Linked DNA regions of Sus scrofa. The protein of the gene in region 2 interacts with the protein of the main gene of each other region in a biochemical or structural test. Links are inferred from orthologs where the notes say so. Each region holds a gene or a part of one and is shown on either strand. Other genes may lie near its edges.

Region 1 (5,613 bases), on a different chromosome or scaffold from region 2:
TTAACTTCTTGACTGGAAAAGCTGGTCTGTCTTTGCAATCCATGGCTGTGAAATAAGTGGCAAAGAGTAATTTATTAGATATTGGAAATAATAAAGTAGCAAATACATATATAGTACCTGCTATGTAGAAAGTGGTTGTTCAGGGGGTTGATTTTGTTCTCCCCACTCCCAGGAACATTTGGCCATGTCTAAGGACATTTTTGGTTGTGATGACTGGAGAGATGGTGCTACTGGCATCTAGTGGGTAGGAGATAGGGATACTGCTAAATATTCTGCAATACACAGGATAGTCCCCCACGACAGAGAATTATCTGGCCCCAAATGTTAAGAGATTGAGAAATTCTGCCTTGGACAATGTGACATCTTCTTGTTTTATCTTCCTTGAGCAATTATCACTCTGAGACTTCTGTGTTTATGTCTTCCTGCGACAGAAGCCAGTTCTGTGACAGCAGAGAGACTGGTTCCAAACTGTATCTGTAGCACGGGCTTGGGTTTGGCACACAGTGAGAAATCAACAAACACAATAAAAAGGACAATGAAAAGAGGACTGAATAAAAGTAGAGATGAGAGAAAACACTGTATCATGGATTTTACCATTAATATGACCCCAAATCAAAACATCCCCCTCTAATCCCCACAAACAAATCTGTACAATTAGAATAAGGTTTATTTTCTTTTAAAACAGAGTTATGGAGTTCCCGTCATGGCGCAGTGGTTAACAAATCCGACTAGGAACCATGAGGTCGCGGGTTCGGTCCCTGCCCTTGCTCAGTGGGTTAACGATCCGGCGTTGCCGTGAGCTGTGGTGTAGGTCGCAGACGCGGCTCGGATCCTGCGTTGCTGTGGCTCTGGCGTAGGCCGGTGGCTACACCTCCGATTCGACCCCTAGCCTGGGAACCTCCATATGCCGCGGAAGCGGCCCAAAGAAATAGCAAAAAGACAAAAAAAAAAAAAAAAATAAAAAATAAAAATAAAACAGTTATAAAGGTAATATAACTAAAGCATTTCCAGAGCTTGCCAGACTGGAGCTAAAGTACTGTCAAGAAATGACAAGGAGGAGTTCCCGTTGTGGCTTAGAGGTAACAAACACAATTAGTATTCATGAGGATGCAGTAGGATCCCTGGCCTCACTCAGTGGGTTAAGGAACAAACGTTGCCGTGAGCTGTGGTGTAGGTCGTGTTGCAGACATGGCTCAGATCCTGCATTGCTGTGGCTGTGGTGTAGGCCAGCAGCTGGGAACTTCTCTATGCCACAGGTGTGGGTTAAGGACCCATGTTGTCTCTGTGAGGATGCAAGTTTGATCCCTGGGTCTCGCTCAGGGGGTTACAGAGCCAGATGCGGCTTGGATCCATGTTTCCGTGCTCATGGTGTAGGTCCCAGCCGCATCGCCAATTCAACCCCTGGCCCAGGAACTTCCATGTGTGGCAGGTGCGGCCGTAAAGAGAAGGAAAAAAAAAGGAAATGACAAGGGGAATGTTTTCCTGCACACACACACTTCGGAAAAAAAGTATCTAACAATATCAAAGCTGATGGGGAAATGCACATAATAGAGACAAATCTTTGGATAGGTATCTTGAAATGGCTAGAATAAATTTAGAAGCTGACAACTGCTAGATTTGGCTTAGAAAAGTCTAATTTAGTTATTCTGGCCAATATAAGTTAAAATATATATGTGTAGTGTGTGTGTATGTGTGTGTGTGTGTGTGTGTGTGTATGTGTGTATATATATATATATATATATATATATATATATATATATATGTATATGAGTACTTTTAAAAAGCAGATTGGGGCTTTCTAAAAACTCAACTGTCCGTTAGATGAAGCTGCCCTATCCCCTTTCCAAGCTTGGAATATAAGAAAGGTACCCAGAAGACTCACATATCCTCTCCACCCATTTCAAGATATCATTCTCAAGTTTTCAGTTACCAAAAACAAACAAACAAACAAAACCTTCCCACTGCTAGCTAAAGGATACATTAACTTAGCCACTTAAATTTAAATTTATTTTTAGTTTAACTGCAGGATTTATTGGCATGTCCCTGAGTCACCAGCTTTAATGCAAGTGCAGCAAAAGTGACCTGGGCCCAGAAGCAACCTCAGGTCGATGTAAAATGGATCTCATCTAGGGACGCGGCTTGTTCAAACATATACATAACAATTAACACATTTGTGTATATAAACTTACCACTGCTCTTTATTGAAATTATTTTCTTTCTAGTTTTATTTAGCATTAAGACATCTTTCTCTTTTATGGTATTATGATCATAACAGATGGTGCTTTTAAAATTTTCTAATTAACCATTTAATTGACCCTTACTCGGTCAAATGACTGTCCATGACAATCGGTCCCAACTTTATTTCATAAATTCTATGTCTATTTAAAATCCCAAAGTCTGGAAACAATTAGCACAGTGGTTCTCAATTAGGGGGCCCCTTGACAGTGCCTAGGATACATTATTGTCACAACTAGGAAGGAAGTGTTGCTACTGAGATCTAATGGGTGGAGACCAGGGATGCTGCTAGACACCCTACAATGCACAGGACGGCCCCAAATGTCAATAGTGCTGAGATTGAGAAACCCTGGACTAGTCTAGTTGAGGTCCCTGCCAACCCTTCATTCAAACAACCCACATTTATTGAGCAGCTACTACATGCCAAGCATTTTGCCAAGTGCTGGGGGTAAAAGGAGTCAAGTCGTCTGGTCTTCCGTGGTTCACCACCCCCCATCTTGAGGGCCTGCCAGAAAGCCCCCTCCCAAGACAGAGTAAGGAGAAAGACAGGTCGGCAGCATCAAGAACCCGGGACCCTTATCATCCGGGCCTCTTACCTGGGCTTGCCCTGACCCGCAGACGCAACTGTTCTGGTCCCCGAGCCCTTGTGACCCTGGACCTCCGTTTCTCCACCCAGTTTTGGGGCCGCTGCAGCGTCCAACTTATCAAGGGACACAAACGCACTCGGTAACTTCCAAAGCCGGCTTTTTCGCCTCTCTGGGCCTCCGTTTCCCCTCCTGGCCACACACACCCGTCACCGCAGAGCGCCCTGGAAGGGCGAACTGACGGCAAAAGCGCCGGGAGAAAATGGTCGCGGCTACAATAACGTCAAGAAGAGCGCCCTTTGAGTCCCAAGGCCCTTCCTTGGGACTGTAAGCTCCACGGACCGAACGCGAGGAGCCGAGGAGAGGGCCCGGGACTGGAGGCCCGTCCGCCCCCAACTGCCGCCTCGGCCCTCACAGGCCGCACGCCGCGCCCCCCCTTCCCCTCCGCGCGTGCCGGAACCGACCTGCAGCGGCTCCCCGGGCGCCTGGCGCCCCGCACTCCGGCTCCTCCAGCATTGTCCCGGCAGCGTCTCGAACTCCCCTCAGGCGGAGGAGGCGCGGGCTCCGCTGAGGCGGCCGCTGCTGCTCGCCCTCCCGCCCGCGCCGCTGCTACCGCGGCCGCCGCGCTCGTATTTGGCGGGAACCGCGGCGACCCCCGCGGCCGATGCGCCGATTGGGTGAGGCCGCATCACGTGACGCGCTTCCTCGGGAAGAGGGGTGCTCCGGGAGAATCCTCGCGAGAGCCGAGGCTTCCATTACTCCCAGGGCTCCCCTATTGATATTCCCGCTGAGGGCGGGGTGTCCCCCTCGGCAGCCTGTCATTGGCGGTGAACATGTGCCCTGTGATTGGGGGAGGGTGATATCAATCTGAGAATCGACACTGTTATTGGTTGATTGCTGGGGTATGTGGGTGGGGAGTGGGAGGAGGAAGGGCCAGGTTCCTACGTCGTGACAAAACGCTTTACACAGGGCACCAGAGACAGCCTGAAACTGCGATTTAGCTGAAGACTGAAGTTTTTTTAAGTCGTAATTGGATATAGGCTGCACACATAGCAACAGAAATTAAAATTATGAACTCTTTTAATACGAATAATAAAAATAGAATAAATAAACTCTAGGCATCGCTTCAGAAGCATTTGAGATGCAGTGAATATATTCAGAGGGAACGAATGAAATGAATGTTTCTGGTTTAATCCCTCAGGGTTTTGCATAGGCTGTTTCTTCGCCTGGAACACTCTTTCCTCAGCTCTTTTCCTGGTTGATTTTTACCTAACTTTCAGATCTTAGATCAAAACCCCAGAGAAGCCTTTTCTCCCCTACCCCAACAACATGAAGTTCCTACAACACAGTCATTTTTCTTGGAATAATTACACCTTGTGTTTATTTATTAGCGTGTTATTGGTTAATGAATTAATTCCTGTTTTTATCATTAGCTCCATGAAGGCAAAAATCATTTATCATGGTATCCTCAGGACCTATTGATGACTTACGCAGTAGTAGGTACCCAATATATATATATGAGTGAATACATTAAATACCATTTGATTAAACTGTGACCGGATAAATTAAAAGCCTCTCACAGAACAGAGACCTTCAGAATCAGTCTGTGAGCCTTAGAACAGGTTTTCTTCAGCATCTATTTATCGCTCAAGCAGAGCAGAAGTGAGAATAGTAAAATTTAGCCCAATTTTGGAATTCTATTTATCCTGTAAATTGGATAATTAAATCAGTATGATTGTTGTAAATCATGTGGAAAAATAGGAAATTCGAGGACATCGCTTTAGGCAAGTAAGTCGTGTCTTACTCAAGACCTCAGTTTCTCCCTCTGAACCATTAGGATGTTTTCCCTTCCTTCTCTAACATTCTGACATCTGAAATGATTGAGACTAGTGCATCACCCTTCAGGATGCCCATCAGAATCACATGGAAAAAATTTCAAACTATTAATAATAGCCTCATCAGGATCTTGGGGAAAGAGGTTGGAGCCTGCCTATTGCGAAGCAATCCTCTAATCTAGCCCAGGACCTACCATTGAGGCACTTGGAAACTTCTAGCAATCCTCTGCTTTACAAAAGCACTCAACTCTGTCAGAGATTTTGGAAATGAAATTGCAAGCACTTTAGCTCTGGTCATTTTATTATTCTTCTTTTTGGATTCATTTATTCACTTCAATTCACTATTAATTTCCACTTCATTCAATAAAATAACAGTTGGTTAAAAAAGTCAATATCAGTAAACATTTATCAATCTGAGAAGGCTTCCTGGAGGAGGTGCCATTGCAAAGAGTCCTCTTAGGCACAAGGAAAAGGGAAAAGATTGGGGAAGAATATGCAAGAGAGGAACAATGTTAGCAAAACACATGGATTATAGATGAAGACAGCTGAAATCAGAAAAGGTGATGGGGGAGTTCCCATCATGGCACAGCAGAAATGAATCCGACTAGGAACCGTGAGGTTGCAGGTTCAATCCCTGGCCTGGCTTGGTGGGTTAAGGATCCGGCTTTGCCATGGGCTGTGGCATAGGTCCACAGCTACAGCTCCGATTAGACCCCTAGCCTGGGAACCTCCATATGCCACAGGCGTGGCCCTAAAAAACAAAACAAAACAAAAACAAAAACCCAGAAAAGATGATGGGGGCCAAATTATGCAAGCTTTGTAGGCCATCCTAGGAAATTGGTAGTGTATTCTAAGGCCAGTAGGTGGACTTTAAACAGAGGGCTGATGTGATCTGAATTGTGTCATAGAAGCATCTTTCTGGTTGCCTTGTAGGCAATGAATTGGAGGCAAGAACCTGA
Region 2 (5,616 bases):
TTTTTGTTTTGGGTTTTTTTTTGGTCTTTTTAGGGCTGCACCTGTGGCACATGGAAGTTCCCAGGCTAGGGGTCGAATCAGAGCTACAGCTGCCAGCCTATGCCACAGCAACTGGGGATCAAAGTTGTGTCTGTGACCTACACCACAGCTCATGGCAACGTTGAATCCTTAACCCACTGAGCAAGGCCAGGGATCGAACTTGCATCCTCATGAATACTAGTTGGGTTCATTAACCACTGAACCACAATGGAAACTCCCCAGTTTGTTTGTTTTAAATCAAATTTTCCACAATATTCGGATATATATAGCTTCCCAATCCTATTCTATGTTTGGGTTTGATACACAAACCCATTGTTCTATAGTTTATAAAGGTTGCACTGAATTTGCATTGCCTTCTCACAATTTAGATGGCATTTATAAACCACCTTAAGACATCAAGTCTTTCAAGTTCTCACAAATTAGTTACTTGGAAATGCAAATTTTGACTATTTTTCTTTAGAGTTTTCTTTAATTTTAGCAATTACCTTGCCACAGACGGTCATGTCCCATCCCATCCCCCCTTCCCCTGCCAAATTCACATTAAAACCAAATCCCCAATGTAATGAATGTAATGCTGTTTGAGGTGGGGCCTTTGGGAGATACTTAGGGTTAAGCAGGCAGAGCCTTCGTGAATATCCTTACAAATGACCACAAAGCTCTCTCTTGCCCCTTTTCACAGAAGGCTGCTATCTGTGAACCAAGAAGCGGTTCAGAAACCAAAATCTGCCAGTTTCCTAGTCTCCATAACTGTAAGAAATAAATTTTTGTTGTTTATAAGCCACTTAGTCTATGGAATCTTGTTACAGCAGCATAAAGTTACTTTTCAAAGTACTGTGTTTACTTAGAAATTACTTACTGCTTCCTCCTCTTTATCAACATTACTCGTTTGTGACAACTTAATATTTCCATTTCCGAGTTCTCCACTTGCAGAAAATTTCACTCCATCTTTTGCACAGGAAATTACAACAGCATCTCCAATGTGACTGAGATCTCGGCATATACGTGCAAATTCACCAGAAGGCATCTTTACTACACAGCTGTACTCTTGTTCCTATGAAACAAGGAAACTTAAGTTCAATGAATGGAAATGAAAGATTTGGCACCCTTACTGTCTGAAGACTCAGCATTTAAACAAGAGAATTTAAGGTTTTCTAATTATTTTGAAATATCACTTTGTGTAATTTCTTAACATACTCTAACCACTCAAAACGTAAACACAGTTATAGAACAAGAATGTTATAAAATAATCAAAGGAAACAAATAAGAACTTGAACTTTTATAGTAAATGCACTGTCCAGGGAACAAGAGCCTCCCCTTAAATGATCTACAGGGTTAAATCAAGAGAACATTAGGGTATAGCACACACACAATGACGGTGCTAACAGGCCGTCATTTTTTTGAAAAACAAAACAAGAAAATACAATTACTAGGCATATTAAACATCCAAACCCTCTTCTCTCATTTAATGTTGATAAACCAAAGCATAATGAATTTCTGCTAAAGTAGCTTTAAAATGTACTCAATAAAAAATTAAGCATTGTAGGAATAAAAAGAAGAGAGTCAATTAGGTTAATGCAAATATGCATGTGGCAGCAATCAATTCAAAACAATGAGCCATTGCAGAATACCATCATTTATATCAGTCTAAATACTCGGATTTGGAACATACATGAGCAGATATACAGAAAAAGCTCTTTTAGGAAGTAGGCTTTATTATATTAATATATTTTATGTAACTATCATGACTGTATGTAGTATGCTCAATCAGAAACTTTGATACTCACTGGAATTCCAAGTTGCTCAACATCTAAATCCATTAACTTCATTTCATAGTCTGAAACCTTTTCCTGATCTACCAAAAGAAAGCAAACGATGAAGAAAAACATGTAGGTTTATAATTGTGATAAATTTTACAATTACCACAAACTATCTTAAATTTCTCTCAGCTTTGGGAAATAAAGACACTGCATTCTAATCTCCTCTAGCATTAACTCAGAAGGGTGTAACTTACTTGGAGCTTCAAACACTAGTGCCAAGGTGTCTGCATTATCTTCTGCCCTTAGCGTAATGATGTCTTCATTGCCAGCACATTTTAGTATTTTGGACATGCTGGAACACAGGAGACAAGAGTTTAAAATCGACACCATCTTCTCAAGATCGTTAGCTTTCTAACTCAATTAAAACCATGAGTTACCACTTTTAACCACTGGACCACGTGTCGAATTGGCGAGTTTGGGAAACGTACTGCAGGAAGATGTAAGAGAGTCCAGCCGTTTTGGAATGCAATCTGCCAGTATTTATACTTATACGAAAAAGCCCACACCCCACAATGTGCAATTTCGCTTCGGGATATTAAAAAAAAGACCAGTATTTTAGAAAGTACAAATCCCTTTGGTGGGTGAAGTAAATTATTGGGCCGCGACGATCTTAGATTTTAATGTACCCACTGAAGCACCAGTCTATTATATTGAGTGTAGCACGGGTAAACACTTTTCACAAGCTTTAAAACTTAAACATGTGTATGTACTAGGAAAGGTAGTGATCAAAAAGTTTAAAACCACTGTCCTTCCTGGAGAAATTTTTCCTCAAATCCAGGATCTTAGGATGTTCACTGCAACTTTGCGGTAAAAAAGTAAGCTATTGTCCATATCACGGCGACAGAAGTAGGGCAAATTATAAAGCGGCTCATCTAAAGGCGCCTGCAATTAATAACCAAGGGCTCCGCAACAATCTTTTCCTGGCACCGCGAAGAAGCCCGTCGTTTTCCCGCCACCACTTGCTTTGTGACTTTGGCGCGGAAACAGCCGGTTCGCGCTGCAGTCAGCGCGGGCTTTCCGAACCGCGCGCTCTGCTACTGGTCCCGCCCCCCCGCCCCGCGCCACAGGCCAATAAGAAAGGTGCAGATATCCCACGCCAGCCAATAAGGGCCCGCCTTATGGGCGCTCCCGCCAAGAGCGGAGGTAGGGGTGTCCGCGGGCCCGACAGTCTGCGGCTTCGGGACTCACCTGGTGAGGTTCACGCCCATGGCCAAATTGCGGTCGCAGCGGTACGTGTCGAAGCCCTCGGAGCGCAGGGTGAGCTGCACCAAAGAGACATGAGACGAGTCCATGCTCTGCAGGTTCACGCCGCTGGAGCTGATGTCCCAGCAGGCCTCGTTGATGAGGTCTTTAAGCGCTTCCAGCACCTTCTTCAGGATAGAGCCCTGGACCAGGCGCGCCTCGAACATGGTGGTGGAATCACAACGACGCGGCTACAGGTGGAAGAAAGAAGGAAGGAGTAGCCGGCTTAGGCTTCAGAAGTTGAGAGAGAGCAGGAAAACACCACAACAGAGCCTGAACCGGAGGACGCACACTGCCAGCCGGCCGCGCCTGCAGCGGTTTAATACAGCCGCGTCTGCGAGCGCGCGCTACGCCCCCACGCCCTTCATGGCTACGTCACCACGCTGCCCCGCCCACTGCCTGGGCGGAGAGGCTGCGGAGCCAATCGTGTCCCTGCTCCACATGAAGCCCGTCCCACCCCGAACATCCATTGGAGAGTGTGGGCGTAGGGGCGGGGCAGGAATCTTGCGCCTAACGAGGGCCTGCTGATAGGCATCCTGCGGGGCTCCCCGCCTTTTTGTCGTGTTCCGGCGCCCGGACGTTAGACAAGTCGGGGCAAGTGTGAAGGTCAGGCCTAGGCTTGGGGGGGGGTCGTTGAGGTGGCTTTGTGGTGCCTCATCAATTTCCCGCTTGAGGGATGGGACATTTACAGCCTTGAAAGTGAAGGTGAAACGGAAATCCAGCCTTCTAGGAGGAAGAGCCACCATGCGCCTAAAGAGTATAGCTACTTTAAATATGCACTTTTTTCCCCCTGCTATTATAGAGTAGCAATTATAGAAGCGTTCCTAAAAGTGAACAATAAAGAGATGTACAGTTATGATTAAAAGAAAACAGTTATCGTGGCTCCCCACTGCCATCGCCTCCCCCACCACACACACACCAAACTATCGTTTACTGCATACAACTTTCTAAGCTTTTTTTTTTGTACAAATGTACTTTTAAAAACAAAATTCAGGAGTTCCCGTCGTGGCGCAGTGGTTAACGAATCCGACTAGGAACCATGAGGTTGCGGGTTCGAACCCTGGCCTTGCTCAGCGGGTTAAGGATCCGGCGTTGCTGTGAGCTGTGGTATAGGTTGCAGATGCGGCTGAGATTCTGAGTTGCTGTGGCTCTGGAGTAGTAGGCTGGTGGCTACAGCTCCGATTGGACCCCTAGCCTGGGAACCTCCATGTGCCGCGGGAGCTGCCCTAGAAAAGACAAAAATAAATAAATAATTAAATAAAAACAAAATTCAGGGAGTTCCCCTAGTAGCGCAGTGGAAACAATCCGATTAGGAACCCTGAGGTTGCGGCTCGATCCCTGGCCTTGCTCAGTGAGTTAAGGATCAGGCGTTGCCGTGAGCTGTGGTGTAGGTCACAGACGCGGCTTGGATCTGGAGTTGCTGTGGCATAGGCCAGCAGCTGTAGCTCGTATTCTACCCGCAGCCTGGGAACTTCCCTATGCCTCGGGCGCGGCCCTGAAAACAAAAAACAAAAAAACGGTTTATACTGTAAACACTTATGCAAAATACTTAACAAAGTATGTTTAATTTTATGCCACGTACTTCTTTTCTACATCATCATCTCTTTAAAAAAAGATTTACCAATTTCTTGTAATTCGGGCAAGTCTTTGAGGTAGTATTGCTGGATCAAAGAGCATATACATGAAAATTTTGATGAATGTGTTACTAAACTGACTTCTAAAAGATTTCAATTTATGTTATAGCCAGGACAATGAGCCTGCTCATCTCCCCTAATTTTTCTGTGGGTATTAGCAACCTCATTTTTAAAGAAATTGTGCTCATTTGTGTGAAAAAGTCAATATTTAATATGCAATTTGCACATTAAATGATTGGTACAGGTTAGATAGCTTTCATATATTTCTTTTTTTCTTTTTAGGGCCACACCTGTGGCATATGGAAGTTTCCATACTAGGGATTGAATAGGAGCTACAGCTGCTGACCTACACCACAGCCACAGCCATGCCAGATCTGAGATGCACCTGCAACCTATGCCACAGCTTGCACCAATGCAGGATCTTAACCCACTGAGACCAAGGACTGAACCCACATCCTCATGGATACTAGTCGGGTTCTTAACCCGCTGAAGCACAGTGGGAGCTCCTGTCACATATTTGACCATTACATGCTTATATTTTTCTATTAAACTGTCTTTTTCTTATTGATTAAAAGGAACACATCATGTATTAATCATTTCCCTATTGTAAATATCCCCCTTTGTTTCTTTTTTGCTCTTGTTTACAGCATTTCTCTTTAGTTGCTTCTAAAATTTTACATTGGTCTATAGAATTCTTTAGTTTTTCTACCATATATCTAGGTATGGATTTAGTTTTATTTATCCTGTTCAGGGAATTTTGTGTTCCTCAGTCAGAAGATTCATGCATATCATCATGTCTAGAATATTTTTAACCATTATGACTTTGAAAATTGCCTTTTTCTATTATCTCCCTCTAGCATTTCTATTAAATGGATCTATTTCAT

Evidence for each region. The genes of interacting proteins can lie anywhere in the genome.
Region 1: the proteins of PCNA (region 2) and CHAF1A form a complex in vitro, tested with the Homo sapiens proteins (4 studies listed by BioGRID and IntAct). The link is inferred for Sus scrofa from reciprocal best matches to the Homo sapiens genes PCNA and CHAF1A.

The regions. Positions count from the first base shown.
Region 1 is NC_010444.4:74,408,325-74,413,937, forward strand, and holds the start of CHAF1A (chromatin assembly factor 1 subunit A), read right to left. Parts: upstream 3,552-5,613; 5' UTR 3,336-3,551; coding exon 3,284-3,335; intron 46-3,283; coding exon 1-45. UniProt on the Homo sapiens protein: Acts as a component of the histone chaperone complex chromatin assembly factor 1 (CAF-1), which assembles histone octamers onto DNA during replication and repair.
Region 2 is NC_010459.5:14,139,279-14,144,894, forward strand, and holds the start of PCNA (proliferating cell nuclear antigen), read right to left. Parts: upstream 3,307-5,616; 5' UTR 3,266-3,306; coding exon 3,045-3,265; intron 2,149-3,044; coding exon 2,051-2,148; intron 1,892-2,050; coding exon 1,824-1,891; intron 1,091-1,823; coding exon 896-1,090; intron 1-895. UniProt on the Homo sapiens protein: Auxiliary protein of DNA polymerase delta and epsilon, is involved in the control of eukaryotic DNA replication by increasing the polymerase's processibility during elongation of the leading strand.